2 linked regions of the Drosophila melanogaster genome follow. The protein of the gene in region 1 interacts with the protein of each later gene in a pairwise test. Each region holds a gene or a part of one and is shown on either strand. Other genes may lie near its edges.

Region 1 (7,826 bases):
GAGATGATCAATTGAAGCATTAGATGATCCACGATCACGTTCAAAAACAGTTCTTTTATTTGTCGATATTGGTTTTAAGTCATTCTTATTCATTAGATTTATTAAGTAAGACTTTAATTAAATAAATAAATGTGGCTATCCTTTTTATTACTTTGGTGCTAGACGCAATTCCACCGCACCATCGATTGAATGTACATGTCTACGTTCTACTACCAGGTGGTCACTAGAGCACCATGTCCGCCTGCAGACCCAACGATTCCGAGTGCTTCTTGGCCTTCATCCGGAGATCGGCTATCGAAGAGCTCTTGCTGTGGGCGGCGGCGAAGGCGGCCAGATTTATGGAGTACTGGGGCACAGAAAACAATCCAGCCGGCACGGTTCCATTAGTTATAGCAGCTGCGTACTGAAATCAGCAAAAGAATAGATATATAGATACATATACATTAAATTGTATCTATTTTGCTTAACTCGTATTGGGACCATTAGAAATAAAGATTATATTCAATATTTAGAAGAATTTTCTTGGCAAGGATTCTTCAGAATCTCATATTTTTATGCTCTTAGTACATACAAACTTCAATGTGAAATATTTCAAATGAAAAACGGCTTTTTTCCAAACTTTGTCGTATAAGTTAGTTATCATAAAAACGATACGCATTATTATAAGTAATTAAGCTTTTAAGCTTTGCACTAATGAATAACTTTTCGATGGTTTAAATAAATAAAATCTTTAAAATTTTGTCGAGATTATAAAATTGTATGTTTAACCAGCGCCTGCCTCAATCGATTACAATATTTTAAGTTCAGGATTGGCATCGCTGAATCTGCCAGGATCATAGATGCAATACTACCATTTGGAATTTTACCTGATGAGCTGCCACCGAAATAATGGCCGGATCGAAAGCGGAAAAGGCGGCGGCTGCTGCCACGGTGCTGGAAAACTGTTTGATAGCCGAGCGCGATATCGCCGGATTGTGATTATGTGGTGAGTCCACGGTGACCACCTTGCCGGAACTGCTGGTTCCGGAGACACCGGGTGCCTGGGGATTCGAGCTGGTCGCTGCGGCAGGATGGGATGGAACGGATGAGCTGCGAAGGGCGGCCAGGCTGACGTAGGGAGCCACACGACATGGTTCCAGCGGAGTGGCAATCGGCGGACTCCGGCTGCCCACGAGGAATCCTTTAAGATATAAGTGGATTACATGAGACGTGTTGCACTTGGATGGGGCTTGTGGAACTAAAGTGTAGATTTAAGTTTGACTTTCATTGTAAGAAAGTAAGGTTTAAGGTTTAAGGTTGAAAAAGGTTAGTTAGGGAAAGGTTTTTTAAGTTTACAGTTTGTATAATCTGTTCAAATTTTGGATCAATTATGTAATGTGGCTTAAATTGTTATAATTTAAGATCTTTAGTGCGATTAAGTTGTTAAGCTCTTTAACTTTCATTGACCATTAAAATACGAACATTTAAAAACATTCGCTAAAAATGAAACATGCAGGTAAGACAAAATTCTGCTTGTAACTGAAAAGACGAATACAGTTTATATATTAGTAATAATATATAATTATTAATAATGTACTTAAACAAAAAGGTTAAGAACTGCAAAACTTTTTGTGTAAGGTTATAGAGTAAAAACAGGTAATAAGTACAAACTTATTTGCATTAAGTTTTCAGTGTATAAAAAAGTGATTTAAATTTTTAAGATGCACCAAAGAAATAAGCAATATTTTAAGGATTATCCGAAGGATTCACTGCCGGCAATCACTCTGCTTAGATGGATATGTACCGTACCTGCTAGATTGGCAAATCGTTTTAAGATTCAGTGACAAGTAATTGAATTCATTTTGTAATTTATTGCTCGGAAAACGCCCCGGAAAGTCGGAAAGCCGGATGGCCGGAACCACAGGGACGTGTTACCGCTGGCGGGTGAAATTTCTGGAGTGGAGCGGCACATACAAATGGGTCTCCTGGGAACTGGAGGCCAGGTTAACGTCTTGTTTATGGGTGGTTCACCGTGGCAAAGAGCCTGAGAATTGATATGGACCCATAAAGTGCTGGCCATTCCATTCGCCGTGTCTGCCGTGCTTTTTATGCCAAAATTTCAATTTGATTACATTTCCGAAAAGTTTTTTATGCCCGAAGGTCCAGTATTGAAATACGGCCGCATTAGGCGGCAAATTTGATAAATGCGATTATATCTTTTTTAATCCAATTAGGCTGAGCTACCCGAATGCGATTTATATTTATGTGAAAAAGCACACACACTCAGGAAGTCATAAATGCGTAAATGTATTGATTTGCATTCTTCTAAACTCGAAAATAAATTTTTTCGCGCACCTCAACACCTCCGGGTTTTCAGTTCAGTTTGTTTGCCCTTCGAATTATAATCAGGACTCACAAACGCATCTGCTCAGATTTTAGCCAGCGAAATCCCTTCGGCAATATATACATAAAATAAGAACGCTTCTCTTTTTTTTTTTAGCGACAGCAAAGCACAAATCATTGCTAACTTCATCAAATTAAATATTCGGGCAATAAAACGAAGGATACAAATTCTATCGAGTGGCGTAGGGCGGGGAAGTTGATGGATGGATGGGGGGGTTAAGTCCTTGGAAACGAGGGTTGAACGGAAACGGAAAGCCAAATGAATTAATGAAGAGACATTTAAACAACTGTGAAAACCGTAACATATTGGCCCCAGCAAGTTGATAAGCCAGAAAATGAACAGCAGCATTCCGAAATGTAAATGTTCTAGCCTGATTTTTGTGTACTTAACTAATTGCAATTTACACTTTCATTAAGCTTAATTGGCGCAAACTTGGCGAAGGTGAGAGGGGTGCTTAAAAAAAAGGGGCACCAATTTATGCTAGTTTTTAATTACATTAATGTTTTAAAGTTAACTTAGAAGGAGCCTTAGTTATTTGCTCACCTTTGTGCATTTGGTTTTCGTGCTTTCTACATTTCGCCCTTCTATTTTGAAACCAAACCTGCAAGAACACATAATTGATAAATGAAAGTTACCATCACATCACTTGTTTGTTTCATTAATATAAATTAAGGAAATTAAGGCATTATAATATCCGATTTGGTCATTAGTTGCTTCAGTATACACTGAATTATCACTGTTTATTTCCCGTTAATCTCGGCAGATGCGTACTTCTTAGATATTTTAGCGGGCTAAAAGTTGCGAAGAGCTAAGCAATTTATTACGGACCATAAAAAAAGTGACACTCCTGCTGGCTTTGGAATTGTAACTACATATTTCATGACCACATAGTGCCTATTCCAGCACCCTGATTGAGCATTTAATCTCTAACCGGCCCCCCGATGCTCGAGCAATTTTCTACTTGTGTCCCAGACGACAAAGGGTGGCGTAAACCACTTAACACCCCATATCTATGCCATCTATGCCCTTACAGAGTGTATATGTACTTTGTCAGCATATACATATATATATTTTGGATCAGCATCGAGTTGTGTCACTTTGTCTATATGTCCGTAAGTCAGAATGTCCGTATATCTGTCTGTCCATTCGTCTGCATATCTGTATCTGCACATCATCCTTACAAAAGGTAGTTATTATTATCATCGAATATAGTATCTATGTATGCTGGTTGATAATAATTGAAAAACCTATTTTCTAGTTTTCCTTTAAGCTGTAGGGTATATAAACTTCGACTTTCCAATGTAGTTTCCTTCATTATTTTCACCATGCCGGTGGTTGAAAAATCAAAGTCACTGCTTCCACATTCGGTCGAAATATTTCGGGGAGACAATGTCTGGTTGTCATTAGTACAAGTGTAATGAATAACCATTGAAAAACAATTTGGACCTCGTGGTGTCCAAAGGGGCGTCCTCGGACATTTCCAATGTCATGTTGCAATCGGGGTATAATTTATGGAGTTGATGCGTGAACATAATTACCTGCACTCTAGCTTCGCTGAGGCCCAGTCGCTGACTCAGTTCCTCGCGCATGAAGGCATCTGGATAGTGGGTCTCCTCGAACAGTCGCTCCAGCTCGTTCAGCTGGTCCAGGGTGAAGTTCGTCCGCGATCTCCGCTGCTTGGTGTTCACCAGCGACGTGTCCAGCGGATCGCAGTGCTCCCGGTTGCGACTGGGCTCCGGAGAGACGCATTCTTCCGGCAATAATGGCTTATCCGGCGCCAGCTTTGGCGTATTACTGTCCTCCGTGCACTCGGTTATGCTGGCAGTGGGCAATCCAGACATTTTCGGATCTGAAAAGGTTATAGTTTTTTCTATATTCATATGCGTATGGCATACTTAATGTCAATCGATCTAGAATATAAAACACAAGTTTATCCTTTTATTTTGAATGCTTGGGTCACTTTTTTTACACTTTTAAAATTAAAAAGAAATTCAAACAAATTTATCATGATGTCTCTTAAAAAATTTTTAAGTCAGTAGATTTTGTTTGTAATAATTATATTATTATAATGTATTATTCTTAACTTTAAGATTTCTTTCTCTATTTATACTGGTTATAAAAACGGCAAAAAAAAGGCATTAGTCTTTATTTAATTAAAATGTGTGATTATTGATTTGTTATGCACCGAAAATACAAGTTCATTATCCGACGGATTATATAGACACTATGAATAAGATCATTTTTATTTGAAACTTGTACACAAAGTTAATGGGCACTTTTTGATGAATATATGTACATGCTACAACTACTGGCTTATTAACTCAAATATTTACGGATATCGAATAAACTACATACTTTATATGGACATTAATGGTTAGATGAATCAACGCAATGGATTACGAATTGCTTTTAGATATTGATATGTGACGGTAATAAAGTTATAGGTAAAAGGTTTATTAGGCAATTATCTTGTTTAACACTTTGACTTTAACCTATACCGTACAAAGTATCTTTCACTAGGATTCACTAGCTGAGTCGATCAAGCCATGTCCGTTTGTTTGTCCGTTTATCTGTCCGTATAAAAGTGATATCCTTACTTATTCGCGTTTTTGTATTCGATCCATGTGTAATAAAAAAGTCATGCTATAAATGTCATAATTCTTAACAAACATCCTAATTATGCAACAACTTTTCAGTTTTTTCTATTATTGAGTGATATCCGGTCGGTTTTAAATCCATGTTGCAATTTAAAACATGTTATATATAGTTGTTTAAGCCACAAATATATAATTAAAGATATCGTAATCCCAAAATTTGCCAAATAAATTAGTAACTAAGTAACATAATGGTAAGAAAATATTAAATGCAGGTAAAAATATTATTCTATTCTTGTTAAAAACAAAAGAAATAAATTTGCTTTGGACCATGCAAATTGTTCAATCACCGACGGATTATATAGGATATCAGATTGCGGATTATCTTAAGATATCAGCTTGCGGAATGTTTTAAGCGATATCTACCAGCACTACCCATCATATCCAGTTAGTGAAGTTACCTTCCGGCTGGGAGTCCACGTCCAAATCCTCCGAAATTAGCCAGTTCTTGGGCTTCGGCTCCACCGCCGCCTTGTGGAGAGTGGGACTAAGGCTGTAGGTTTCCACATGCTCCTCGCGCTGCGAATGAGATTCTTCCGTTGGCTCCGGATCGATAGCGAGGATCGTATTGCTCTCGGATACGGATAGGTCGGTAATGTCTATGTCCACGGACTCCTCGCCACTCGCGCAAGTATCGGCATAACTGCCGCCGGAACTGATCGAGTTTATGAATATGGAATTTTTCACTTCCGTGGGCTTTTTTAAACGCGCGCCCGTCATCGAATTGAATAAGGCGTGTACACTGTTGTTAGTTAGATTGAACTCAAAGGACTTGGTGACAAACTGGGCCAACTGCTCCATTATCCTTGGCTTGGGTAAACAAATAAATGCCGTTGCTTTTTTATGCGTTCGAGCATAAGTTGCTGTAACGAAACTAAGCTGCCGACTATTTTATAGTCAACACCAATGGCATTCGGCGTGCCTAATCACCTCAGTTGGCTCTTTATTGCTGCGCATGTCCTTCGGATTATCCACATTCGATTCAACCGCTTAAATTGTTCGTTCGAGAGCGCGACGGAATAGAAAATATTATCGCTTCGATTTTGGCCAGACATAAACGGATGACTGCCCGTTTTAATGGACAAATATGACTAGTTCAACATCTTGACTCTATTCAATTAGCAATTTCTTTGGTCCTGCAACAGCACTTCACTCTCCTACCCTTCAAAAATCCAGCGAAATCGCTCTCTCTCTCTCGCGTGAGTCCTTAAAAAATCCACCCCAAGTCGGCGGGGCAGTGTAAAGTTAAGTGAAGTCCTGCCTACGGAGGTCCTTTCAATTGCTCTCATTGGTCTACGGAGCAGGCAAAGTGGTTGCACGCTCAGCGATTCCAGCTTACTTTCCTATTATTGGTTATAGCCATTATGGAGCACTATTTATCCATTAAGCGGCAATGAAACACATTATAATTGCAATAAATGATGCCATTGTGGGAGGAGTTTTGCGCGAAAGTTTCACATCCTGGTCGAAGGATTTCCAGCGCTCAGCTTTTTGGCACTTTATAAATACCATTTAAATCGCTGTGCTTGCCACGCAAATCCACAGGAAAAGGGCATTATTTTTATTTCACAAAGTCGTCGCCGTCGTTTGGGGAGCTGTTTTATCGATTTGTGGGCGGGCTCAGTGCCATAAAACAAGGATCTGAGTTGGCGCTTTGCCACGCCCCCCATATTCATTACTTCAACTTTGTGCTAATGACACTGGGCTACAAAGGTGGCATAACTCATTGCTGAGTTTATTGCACAAGTATCCAATCGAAGGACGAATATACTCAGCTAATGTCCTAGTTTTTACAGAACGAACATGTGCCATCTTCATTTGTCAAACTGAACTGTGTTGCACAGTGTAAACTCATTAATTTATCAACATATCAAACCCATTGAGTTAGAGACATCTAGAATTTCAAATTCATAAGTTATTATTAAAAAATCATTTATTTTCTCATCAGTTTATAGATATTTTGTTATAAGAGATTTAGTTTAAACAATTGCATAAGCGGCATAATTGGCAATTCCGCACATATTGACTCCCTTGCGAATTCGTATGTAACCATTTTCGCCCCAATTTTGGCCCCACCAATTCTTTAGTATCCAATAATCCTTTCCAAAACCAATTACCACCATGGCATGATTTACGGAAGCCGATGAGCACAAGGGGTCATCGTAGATGCCGTCACTGAGACAAAAGGCTAAATTTAAAAACAAAAATATATATGTAAGTATTTACGGTCATTACCTGTACAGTTGAAATGTCTTTGGGGAGGCATTTATAGAAATTGCAACTGGTCCAATGTGGGTAACTGCCGCCTGAATGGCCTGCTCATCGCGCACGGGAAGAATGGCCCAGGATGTCACATTAACTACGGATAAATCGGGTACGAACTGGCATTTGCCTTTCTGAAAAACATATGCATTAGTTAGCATTAGTTGTATTGCCTGTAATAACTAAATATTCTACTATTCTAATATTCAATATCACCAAAAATAATTTGATAATGTTTAAAAAACAAAAGATTCGTTCCTTAACTTACCAATTAAATGAATAGCTCAAGCTGTAGTCATTCTAACACCTTGATTTTTATAAAGCTTATAAATAAGCGTATATATCTAAATAAAAGCAACTAACTATCTTCCTAATTGTTTGGTATTTACCCTTGCCACATACGGATAATCTTGGTCCCTCATTATGCCGCCCGTGCTCTGCAAATAACTCAAAGTATTTCGCAGGGAGCCGCCGACGCATCCTTGGTTTCCATGGGACACACTGCAGTCCACGATTTGTTGCTTACT
Region 2 (3,922 bases), on another chromosome or scaffold:
TGAAGGGTAACCTTTTGCACTGGCGGTATGCTCACCCATCTGAATACTCCCTGTGCGATTTGCACGAGGCTGTGAACTTCCTTGTCAGGATTGTCTATGAACCTCCTCACCAATTCCAAATTATTTTTGGCAGCCTCCAAACGGGTTAACACTGCTGTGAGGTCAGTCTCCAACTTGGCAGCCAGTTCGCTGTATTGCACATAGAAAAGGCGTTGCATCTTCAATGCCGCTGGAACAGTCGAATAGAACTCTGGCTTGGCGATGTAGCTGACGACATCGTCAACTAACTTGGCCTCTGGGATGGGCATAAATGACTTTCGGCCGCCCAGAGGCGGCTTTTTTATGGTGTCTATGAATGCAAACATTTTCAATAATTGTTGAACTTGTTTAGTACATCTAATTCAAAGATAAACTGATTTAATATCGTATGCAAATTAAACAGCATTATCTGCTAGAATGTATAAATTTTCTTTCTCTATTTAAAGTACTCCGCATTGCGTCAGCTTAAAATCCAGCATGGTCTTTATTTTGCAAAAAATGTTATTGTGATTTCTTAGACCTAGAGTACATATTAATGTATCAATAATTTAAAAGCGCATTCACATAGATCCTAATCAAATATTGTCATAGTCTTCGTCTAATTCGAAAACGGTTTCAGTGGGGGTCGCTGATGCCGCTGTGGCCTTTGGAATGATGGGAGCGCTGCTCTTTCCAGCCATTTGGTTCACATTATTGTTGTCCCCCGGCGTGGCCGCTGGTAATCCAATAGAGGCGGGGGGCACACCACTGCCAGGTGCTCCACCGGCCACGATATTCGTCAGATCGATATTGATCACCGGAGCAGCTATGTCGAAGTTAAAAGCTCCAGATCCGGCGCCCGATCCTGACCCAGAATCAGAGGCGTCCGGTGTGCACAGGTTCGCCGTCGGCATTTGCACGTGGCTGTAGTCGATCTTGACAATGGGCTTGTTGAGTTCGTAGTTGCAGATCGGGGCGGGTATGGCAGTATCGAGCTGCACCGACTGTTTCTTGAGGTGATTGGGCGGTCTGCCCCGTGGCGTGTAGGCCGGCATGGACCCGGAGCGGGCCAGCTTGGCGGGCAGGGTGGTGCTGGTGGTGGGAGTTTCCTGGGTGGAGTGCTGCGACTGAAACTGCCGCTTGGTGGCTGCGGCTCCTCCGCCCGATCCGGCTCCGTTGTTCAGACTCATGGAGCGCATGTAGGCAGCTGTGCCGTTCGCCTGCGAGCGCATTGACGTCGATGGCAGGCTAAGATCATATGGCGTGTCTGAATCTGGATACTGTTCCTCTGGCGAGCTGCGTAACACATCGTCCTCGTTGTAGGCGGCCTCCTCGGCCACACTGATGTCGGGTATGTTGCGGACCAGCTCCTTGAGGAAGTCAAAGCGTTTCTCGGATACGATACACTGCCTCATGTGCGATGGCGATAGCGTCTTGGCGTTGCGCGCATTCGTGATGCGCAGCGTCTTGGTCAGCAGCGACTCCACGAAGAGCTCCAGCGTGCGTGAGATGATAACAGGCACCGCCTGGGCCACCTTCCCGATTTCCTCGTCGCTTTGCATGATCTTCTTGATGCGACCCTGCAAGGAGTTTATGGTAATGGTTTGGAAACATTATAATCTCGCACCGGTTTGGTTTCTCCTCTACTTCTTTTGAGCCTCTGATTATGCGAGGCGTGTATGTACATATGTATGTACACATGCACGAAAACTGATAACCCATCTTCGGCGTTCACGGCCGCCAAATGGCTGGAGCTTTCCTGTCGCCAATCGGTGGTTTCAACTTACCGCCGGAAAGCGTGCGTTGTATTTTTTCTTTTTCGATGGCATTTTCCGATTTGTGAAGTAATCGTCAAGAGTCCTAGTGAAATAAAACAAATGTGTGTGTGTTTTTCACACAAGAACAGTTCCTTGGTGCCCAACTGTCGGCGTCGATGGGTGAATGGCAGTTGCTCTCGCAGCAGGCGGGGTATTCACAGGGAAGCAAAAGGTATTAATATCAAAATTTGAAAGATTAAAAATTTTTGTACATTATAAGAGATGTTATTTCTTTTTGTTGTTATTTATGTGATTGTTTTTTATTTTGCTTTGATGTATTAGGTTTCCTACACAGCTGACCGTCGCGCAGTCTGGCTACCTTGATCGTGCACTGTGAATGACTACAACCGCCAAGAAGAAGAAGAGTGCAGAACACTTCCAAGTACTTTTCACATATTGCAAGAGCGATTTAATATCGTAAGAATTCTGGGCAGGATTACATGTCTGACACTCGCAAGGATCCCTGCAAACCGAACGCCTGCCGCATACAAGCCTGTCTGACCAGTAAGCACCGCCGGTGACTCCATTTTCATGGTTATGTAAGCTGACTTGCACTCGGTTACAGAGAATCACTACCAGGAGGACAAGTGCTTGGATGTCCTTGAGGCAATGCGCCAGTGCTGTTTAAAGTGGCACAAGGAATCGCTTTGCTGCAGTGGAATCGATTTGGAGAAGACTTATCTACCAGACGCATCCAAGGAAAAGAACGCAACCGGCAAGTCGTGAGTTGTAGCCAACTTCTCTATTCCATATACACTATTATCAACTCGTTTTGCAGGAACAAATAATGTCCATACCGCAGTATAGGCCTCCGAAGGAAATTCAAGACTTGCTGGACCAAAAGGAGCAACAGCAAGCAAATCAGCGCAGGCGAACCGCTGTGCTACCCAAACGCACGTGGATTCAGCGAAATCCACGCCTGTTCCAGATCTCCTTCATCACAGGCTCACTTCTGATCTTCTTCTCCAAGCCCCTGTTTGACTGCTTTATCGCCGATCCCCTACCACCGCCGGAGAACAAAGTTCCGCCTCACAAGCGCTAAGCTAAGGCATGGAATCGGTGCGCAAAGCCAACCAAAGAATCCGCAACTATCCAGTTCTGCTAAGCAAGTGCGCGGACAAAGCCACTGCGTATGCGGTTTGCGTGTCGCGTGATCTAAACGTGCAGCACAAAATCTGCGACACCGAGTTCAAGGAGTTCCTAAGCTGTATCCGCAAGACCGCTTTGGAAATGAAGACCAAGCTTTAGACAAACGTAAACAATAAACACGATGACTCAAACAAAGGCTGCGACCACTGGATGGCAGCGACTGGGTCGCCGCATCCTTTACACTAGCTTTCGGACCCATCTACTAATATCCGCCCTGCTGCGAATAGCTTTAATTTGCTACGGACAATTACACGACAGTCAGTCCGCCGTGCCCTACACCGATATAGACTACAAGGTGGTGACTGATGGAGCCCGTCAAGTTCTGGCTGGGGACACACCCTTCGCCAGGCATACTTACCGATATAGCCCAATCATGGCATATCTGCAGACTTTTAACATCCTGCTTCATCCGGCGTGGGGTAAACTACTGTATGCGACATTCGATCTTCTCATCGCCACACTTATTTACCGTCTGGTGCACATGGAAATCAAGAGTCAGTACCAGAAGACCGTACAACACCTGCTTAGCAAGTTCAACAGGCCACGGGACTCGGACCAATCGCTGGATGCCCTGGATGAGCGAAGTCATCCAGAGAACTTGGCCCGCGCCTCTGCTTGCTTTTGGTTATACAACCCGCTGACGGCTGTAATATCCACACGTGGAAGCGGCGATTGCTTCTCAAGCTTCTTCGTGATACTAACTATATACCTGCTGTTAAAATCTGAGCACAATGTCACCAGGAGTTACTGGCTTATATTCGGAGCGGGCTTGGCTCACGGTCTAGTGATACACCTCCGTCTGTATCCGTTGCTATTCAGTTTGGCATACTATTTATCGCTATCAACGCGGCTGACACAAACTCCCCTCGACTTCCTGTGCCAAATCCTGCGGCCCAACAAGCAACAACTGTGCCTGATAAGTGGAACATTGATCAGCC

What was found. The genes of interacting proteins can lie anywhere in the genome.
Region 2: the proteins of CG34367 (region 1) and NC2alpha interact in a two-hybrid assay, tested with the Drosophila melanogaster proteins (one large-scale study listed by BioGRID).

Annotation. Positions count from the first base shown.
Region 1 is NT_033779.5:10,347,794-10,355,619, forward strand, and holds CG34367 (uncharacterized protein), read right to left. Parts: upstream 6,113-7,826; 5' UTR 5,839-6,112; coding exon 5,439-5,838; intron 4,299-5,438; exon of another isoform or gene 4,264-4,298; coding exon of another isoform or gene 4,233-4,263; coding exon 3,922-4,232; intron 2,985-3,921; coding exon 2,927-2,984; intron 1,181-2,926; coding exon 867-1,180; intron 404-866; coding exon 224-403; 3' UTR 58-223; downstream 1-57. Other genes in the region: CtsL4 (cathepsin L4), read right to left, coding at 7,017-7,212, 7,273-7,433, 7,689-7,826.
Region 2 is NT_033778.4:21,668,172-21,672,093, reverse strand, and holds NC2alpha (negative cofactor 2alpha), read right to left. Parts: upstream 1,943-3,922; 5' UTR 1,848-1,942; coding exon 1,806-1,847; intron 1,599-1,805; coding exon 615-1,598; 3' UTR 501-614; downstream 1-500. Other genes in the region: CG15676 (uncharacterized protein), read right to left, coding at 1-365; CG42381 (uncharacterized protein), read left to right, coding at 2,276-2,339, 2,401-2,557, 2,614-2,623; CG42379 (uncharacterized protein), read left to right, coding at 2,623-2,877; CG42380 (uncharacterized protein), read left to right, coding at 2,886-3,083; PIG-M (phosphatidylinositol glycan anchor biosynthesis class M), read left to right, coding at 3,106-3,922.